Linked DNA regions of Caenorhabditis elegans. The protein of the gene in region 1 interacts with the protein of each later gene in a pairwise test. Each region holds a gene or a part of one and is shown in the gene's direction. Other genes may lie near its edges.

Region 1 (3,754 bases):
GAGAATGTAGAGAAAAATCTACGGAAGTTGGATGTAAGTCCCCTGAATGGGAACTCTAAATTCTGAGAATGCGTATTGCACAACGTATTTGACGCGCAAAATATCTCGTAGCGAAAACTACAGTAATTCTTTAAAGTACTACTGTAGCGCTTGTGTCGATTTACGGAAATAATTTATTAATCGATAACACACACACACACACAAATTACAAAACAATACGAAAAAATTCGTTTCAAAATCGAGTCCGTAAATCGACCCAAAGGCTACAGTAGTCACTCCAGATTTCGCTGCGGGATATTTTTATATTTTGCGCGTCAAATATGTTGCGCAATACGCATTCTCGGAATTTCGCGTTTCCGACTAACAAGAAAAAGAAAAAAAAATTTAGGAGCATGGCCTTCAAAGAGGCAATCTATCAGCTGATGAGGCTCTCCTTCGAGTTTCTACCACTACATCGTTGAATGAGGTTATGAAGAATGCAATTTATATGCAGGAATCTGCACTTGAAGATTTAAATTTTCGAATTCAATTCTACAAAGTTATTGATGAGATCGCGGATCCTACAACGATCCTTGCAAGTAGTACGTCAACAATTCCAGCGTCCAAGTTCACTGATGGTCTGATAAATAAGTAAATAGACTTCTTTGTTATCTTATTTCTATTAACATTAATTCAGGGAACGTTGTCTTATCGTCCACCCCGTCAATCCTCCGCTCTTCCTTCCTCTTACCGAGCTTGTTCCTGCTCCGTGGACCTCACAGGATACTGTAGATAGAGCTGCAGAGATCATGCGATCTGTGAAGCAGGAGCCGGTGAAGCTGAAGAAAGAAGTTTTGGGATTCGTTGTGAATCGTCTACAATTCGCTTTGCTAGCAGAAACCTGGCGTTTGGTAGCCGATGGCGTCATTGGCGTGAATGATGTGGATGCGGTGATGTCAGCTGGTCTAGGGCCGAGATATGCGTTCAATGGGACTTGTGAAACGGTTCATTTGAACGCGTTTGGTGTCAGAGATTATTTTAAAAGATATGCGGCTGGAATTACGGCGGTAAGGAGCTTGAAGCTTGTGCTTTTTATTTTTATTTTATTTATTTTTATTTCCGCTAGCATTTCCAGGTCCTGAAGGATATGGGGCCGATTCCAGATTTCACAGACGAGAAAGTCATTAATAAGCTTGAAGAAGAGCTGGAGCCGAAAATGAGCACTTTGAATATTCGAAAACATCAAGCGGAGAGAGAAGAGAAGCTCGTGGAAATTGCCAAGCTGAAGAAGGACCTGAATCTTTAATTTTTCCTCTTATTGAATTTATTTTGTCAATAAATGCACAAAAATACTCCCTTTTTTTGAGATATTTATGACATATTTCATTGCGCAAAAATGTCGTAACAAGATACAAATCTATGTAACAGCAAAAATACGATAAAAATCACGCGAAGGACACACAGTTGACCACTAAACCGGTAATTACATGCACGGGAATTGATAATTATAGATTTTGTGTTTCAAAATGTTTTGCAAAATTCAATGGAAACATTTTGCAATCATTAAATTAATTAATTATGTAATTCGATTTTCAGAAAAATCAATAATTTTCGAGGCTCGTAAATCGTTCGGACTACCGTACCCAGGCGCGATCGTTGCGAGACCCGCGCGCGGGCAGCTTTGTTTTTTGAAAAATCACACGTGTTTTTCGTTGATTTTCTCCTAATTTTCGTTTTAAAATGGGAAATTCATCGATTTTTCGAGATATTATCAACGAATTCTGGTATAAATCCTTCTTTACCCCGTCAATTTTATAATAAAAAGTTGTTTTTCAACCCTGAAAACGAAAAAAGCACTAAAATGAACATTCTCGCGTATATTAAAATTAGAAAACGGGATAGAAAAGGGTATTTGAACCCTATTTCCGTAATTTTTGTGTCCTTTTCCCGTCAATATATCATGATAATCACTGAAATGGCCCATAAACACAGCTGACAATTTATCATTGTTCTCGTTGTTCTTAGCCTGGCGCTGTCGGCGCATTCCGGGTGAAGGTCGGTGCTAGATTAATTGCCTTTTTCCGTCGTTGTTCATTTCTTTTCGCCGTGTGACATTTTTTTTTTCTCGTGTTCCTCTTACTTTTTCAAATTTCACAGTACATTTCGACTTTTCAGATGCAGCGTGTACAGCCGTCTGCAGCAAGGGTAAAGTCCCAGAAGAAGGAGAAGGCGCCGCCAGATGTTCCAGACGTGATTCTCGATGGAGAACGCAAGACTCGTTATGAAAAAGGCAAATTTTTGGGAAAAGGAGGATTCGCACATTGCTACGAGCTGCGGAACAAGTCTACAGGCGAGCTGTTTGCTGGAAAAGTCGTCCCGAAAGCGCTGCTTATCAAGCAGTATCAGAGAGACAAAATGGCTCAAGAAGTGCAGATTCATAGGAACCTCCAACATCGCAATGTTGTGAAATTATATCACTTCTTCGAGGTTTGTACATTATTAATTAGGTATTAATTAATTAATTATTTTTAAAAAAATTCCAGGATAAATCAAACGTCTACATCACGCTGGAATTGTGTCCAAGAAGATCGTTGATGGAGCTGCATAAGCGACGAAAAGCGGTCACAGAGCCTGAAGCCCGCTACTTTACATATCAAATCGTGGAAGGTGTGCTCTACTTGCACAATTTAAAGATTGTACATCGTGATTTGAAGCTCGGAAATCTCTTCCTCAATGATGAATTGCAAGTGAAAATCGGCGATTTCGGGTTGGCAACAACTTGTGATAATGATGAGAGAAAGAAGACACTCTGTGGAACTCCAAATTACATTGCACGTATGTTTCACGCAGAATCGTTGCAAAAATCGAATATTTATTTTTCAGCTGAAGTTTTGAACAAAATCGGGCACTCCTTTGAAGTCGATTTATGGGCGATTGGTTGCATTCTCTACATTCTTCTTTTCGGCCATCCGCCATTCGAGTCGAAGAGTTTGGAGGTAAAGAAGCAGCAATGAGGCGGCACGGTTTCTCCGATTTTATTGTTTCATGTCCTTTTTTGAAACGTTATCCTATTTTATGCTAAATTGGTTGTAAAAACATGAAATATCCTCACAATCTGATGAGAATTTGATTGGATAACATTTTCATCTGAAAATGATGATAAAAAGAAACTTTATTGAAAAAAAAAACAACTAAAAAATGAGGAAAAAAACGTTGCCGCAGAGTTGCGAAATTACGCCACGCCTATATTTCTTTGCGGCAAAATTCATCATATTTCATATTTCAGGAGACCTATTCGCGCATCAAAAACAACAACTACGTCATCCCAACATCGGCGAGTGCTGCAGCATCTCAACTCATTCGTGTGCTTCTTGACCCAGTGCCGAGTCGCCGTCCAAATGCCAGAGCTGTATGCCGAGATCACTTCTTCAAATCCGGCTTCATGCCTGCTCGTCTTCCAGTTTCGTGCCTCACGATGGTCCCACACTTAAACGATGATGAATACGCAGAGGAAAATGTGTCTCCAAGTGGCACGATCGATCAGCGTGGTCCGCACCAAGCTGGTAGATCCGGACTTTCTGCGATTCCGGCTCATCTCGTGTCGAGAAATTCTGAACGGCAGCAAACTCACCGAATGGAGGCGTACCGACAGCCGACTGACTGCTATTTGTCGAATTTACTCGCTCAAGTCAACGATTTATTGGCTACGCCAACCGCAGATGTAAGGAAATGACATTTTTAATTTAAATAGCAAAAATTTTACTTTCAGATTGAT
Region 2 (3,754 bases), on another chromosome or scaffold:
AAAAACTGAGCTTGCGGACTCGAAAACACTAGATTTGACGCGCGAATTTTTTCAAAAATTAAAATTTGCGCGTAAAATATGGTGTATTGGCTTCGTCCCCAATGCACCAGATTTGACGCGCAAACTTTGAAAATCTGCTCGTAAAATATGGTGTATTGGCTCGGCCCTCAATGCAACAGATTTCACGCGCAAATTTGAGAGAAATTTGAGCTTGCGGAGTCAATACACCAGATTTGACGCGCAAATTGTGGAAATTTGCTCGTAAAATATGGTGTATGGACTCCGCCCCCAATGCACCAGATCTGACGCGCAGTTTTTCATCGAAAAAATTAAAATTTGCTCGTCAGATCAAGTGTATCGGCTCCGCCCATCAATGCACCAGATTTTACGCGCAAAGTTGAGAGAAGTTTGAGCTTGCGTACTTGAAAACACCAGATTTGACGCGCAAATTTTATGAAAAATTTAAATTTGAGCGTAAGATATGGTGTATCGACAAATTTTCAGCCTCCTCCCCGGTCCAGTTACATTAATGTTCGAACGCCTTCCATGCCTACCGGCGGAATTTAATCCGGGAGTTGTTAACGTAGCCTGTCGGGTTCCAGACTGCCCAATTGTTTCGACGATATGCAAGTAAATAATGGAAAAATAACGTTGTTTTGGAAATCGAAAAATCAATAATTATCGATTTTTCTAAATTTTTTGAAATTCGAAAAATCGGCAATTATCGATTTTTTTTTGAAAATCGCCAATTATCGATTTTTTGGAAATCGGCAATTATCGATTTTTTTGAAAATCGGCAATTATCGATTTTTTTGAAAATCGCCAATTATCGATTTTTTTGAAATCGGCAATTATCGATTTTTTGGAAAATCGTCAATTATCGATTTTTTGGAAATCGGTAATTATCCATTTTTTGAAAATCGGCAAATAATCGATTTTTTTGAAAATCGCCAATTATCGATTTTTTTGAAATCGGCAATTATCGATTTTTCAATTTTTTTTTCAGAAACCAGTAATTATCAATTTTCCAATCCGGTCCCATTTTTTCCAGAAAACTCGGCCAACCGCTCGCTCAAACATCGGCCAACGTCAGTGGATCCTCACTCAACCCGACATCAATCGATCATTTCCGAGATCTTCATCCGAATATCGATCTGATCCTCGACGCCGGATCAATCATCTCCAGTGGTGAAGGATCAACGATTGTCGATTTGACTGTTGAATCAGGATTCCGGATTGTTCGAAGTGGATGTGCTGAGAAGGAGACGATGCAGAAGCTTAAATCATTCGGATTGACGAAAATTCAGTGATCTTGGGGTTGTGAAGTTGGAAGAGTTTTTCAAGTTTCTAGGCCACCCGACGTCACAAATTCTGTATTTTCCACATTTTTCTATGATTTTTTCTTGTTTTGTACACTGATTTTGTTGATTTTTTGTTAATAATTCATATTTTTTGGAAAATCTTTTTTTATTATTTTTTGCCATTTCCCCAGTGTTTCTCAACACTTTTTATATCGATTTCCAAACAATTTTATTTGAAAATTCTAATTTTCAGAAAAAAAAACAAATTTTACAGATAATGGGAGACCCTGTGGAGGGCAAGGGAGGACCACAACCGCGTGGCGGCAAGAAAAAAGGTAATTTTTGGGGGTCTCGTAGCGATTTTACGGGTAGTAGTTACAGTAGGTCCAAAACTTTTTTTTTCCAAAACATTAATTTCCCCCCAAATTTCGAATTTCGCGCCAAAAATTTGGAAATAAAAAATTCAAATTATCCTCAACAACATTTGTTTGAAAAATTCAATTTTAATCGTGCGCCAGAAATTTTGAAAAAAATTGGATTTCCCCCCAAAAATGTTTTCAAAGTATTTAAATTTCCCGCCAAAAATTTAGGAGCTGTACAGTACCCCTACAGTACCCCTTCAGTACTGCTACAGTACACCTACAGTGTCCCTATAGTACCCCTATAGTACTCCTACAGTACTCCTACCGTACCCCTACTGTACTTCTACAGTACCCATACAGTACCCCTACAGTATCCCTACAGTTCTCTTATAGACCAGTACAGTACTAACACAGCACCCCTACAGTACCCCTACACTCCCCCTACAGTACTCCCACAGTACCCCTACAGTACCCCTACAGTACCCCTACAGTACCCCTACAGTACTCCTACAGTACCCCTACAGTACTCAAAAAATTTGAATTTCGAAATTCAAAAAAAGTTCAAAATTTTAACTCCCGCCAAATTTTTTTGTTGAAAATTTAAATTTCTCACCAAAAAATGTGTTTTTTTTTTCAAAATTTTGAATTCCCGTAAATTAAAATTTCATTTTTGCGCCAGATTTTTTCAAAATTCAAAATTTCCACCAAAGTTTTCGAAAATTCCCAACAAAAAAAAATTCCAGACGCAGACGACGAGAAGAACGCGTGGGAAGAGGGTGATTTCATAGATGAAAAGGTTCGTTTTTTGAAATTTGAAATTTTCCATTTAAAAAATTAGAAAAAAAAGTAGTACTAGACCCCCCCCCCCCCCTCCCCTAACACAGAACAATCCCCCTAAGATGTACATAATATAGATCCATCTCAAATTGAGCCGGGGCTCCACTTGCACATCATCTGCCACGTCATCGGCCCCCTCATCCACGTCATCAACACGTGCCCGGCGCAATTGGTCAGTCTTCTCGGAGCGGCTACGGGAAACGTTGAGCCGAGTCGGCGGCGGCGGTCCCTCATCCACTACTGATTCTCTGATATTGTTTGACGTGAAACGTGTTGGTGATTGCATGTGGATTTGTGAACGAGCTGCTTCTCCTCCGTCTTCCTTTGATTCATCTTCCTCGGATTCCGATGACGATTCGTTTCTTCGAATCTTCAAATTCTTCCCACCAACCCCTGCAGTCTCCTTGGACACCCTTGCGTCGGGATTTGACAACACTGGAAATGTGAGGATCTGGCCTGGAAGTGAGGCACTCGCCTGGACCATCCTACGGGATCCCAACAAGATCCTTGGTCCCAGCCTTGGCGACGGTGATGGTGGTGGCCACAGGAGAATCCTAGAGCTTGGCGCTGGCTTCTTGGGACTTTCAAGCATTCTGATTGCATGCAAGGTTCCCGATTCGAGTGTCTGGGTTACAGATGGTAACATGGAATCCGTGCGTTCTCTGGAAAAGATTCGAAATTCAAACTCGTCGTTGGATCGCTGCTGCCACGTGCGGCAGTTGATTTGGGGCGCACAAGAGCTCCAGCAGCAGCACACCTTTGACACGATTCTCGCGGCGGACTGTGTATTCTTCTCGGAGCACCACGAATCTCTCATGAAATGCATTCACTCGCACCTTCGGCCCAGTGGCCGAGCGATTTTGTCGAGCCCCCGCCGGAAGCAAAGTTTGCAAAAGTTTTTGGACTATGTTGGCACTGTGTGGAGTGACGAGTTCACGGTTTGCATCGAGCCGGATCTCAATTTGGCGTTGGAGCAGAAAATCGGACGAATTTGGATGGACGGAGAGGAGAAGGACGAGAAATTTCCGATTCTTGTGATTCTGCAGAAAATTTGAGAAAATTTAATTTCTTAAATTAAAAAAAAAAAAAACTCGTTGCGTTAGATTTACGCGGCTCGTGTACTCCTCCTCAATTTCGTGGTGTATTTTGCATTCAAATCGCGTCTACACGTGGTGGCGCCGCGCCTGTCCCCTTACGGTTTGATCTACAAAAAATTCGGGATTTTTTTAGCCCAAAAAATGTGACGTCAGCACG

The links.
Region 2: the proteins of plk-2 (region 1) and Y48E1C.1 interact in a two-hybrid assay, tested with the Caenorhabditis elegans proteins (one study listed by BioGRID).

The regions. Positions count from the first base shown.
Region 1 is NC_003279.8:2,756,605-2,760,358, reverse strand, and holds the start of plk-2 (Serine/threonine-protein kinase plk-2), read left to right. Parts: upstream 1-2,154; coding exon 2,155-2,466; intron 2,467-2,522; coding exon 2,523-2,814; intron 2,815-2,862; coding exon 2,863-2,975; intron 2,976-3,265; coding exon 3,266-3,700; intron 3,701-3,748; coding exon 3,749-3,754. Other genes in the region: Y71F9B.9 (3-hydroxyacyl-CoA dehydrogenase), read left to right, coding at 1-33, 389-630, 677-1,046, 1,115-1,285. UniProt on the Caenorhabditis elegans protein: Serine/threonine-protein kinase which plays a role, during oogenesis, in chromosome pairing and synapsis, by facilitating the recruitment and attachment of meiotic chromosomes to the nuclear envelope during prophase.
Region 2 is NC_003280.10:13,413,451-13,417,204, forward strand, and holds the start of Y48E1C.1 (Centromere protein S), read left to right. Parts: upstream 1-1,575; 5' UTR 1,576-1,578; coding exon 1,579-1,636; intron 1,637-2,406; coding exon 2,407-2,459; intron 2,460-2,577; exon of another isoform or gene 2,578-3,754. Other genes in the region: Y48C3A.18 (Threonylcarbamoyl-AMP synthase), read left to right, coding at 505-630, 1,052-1,310.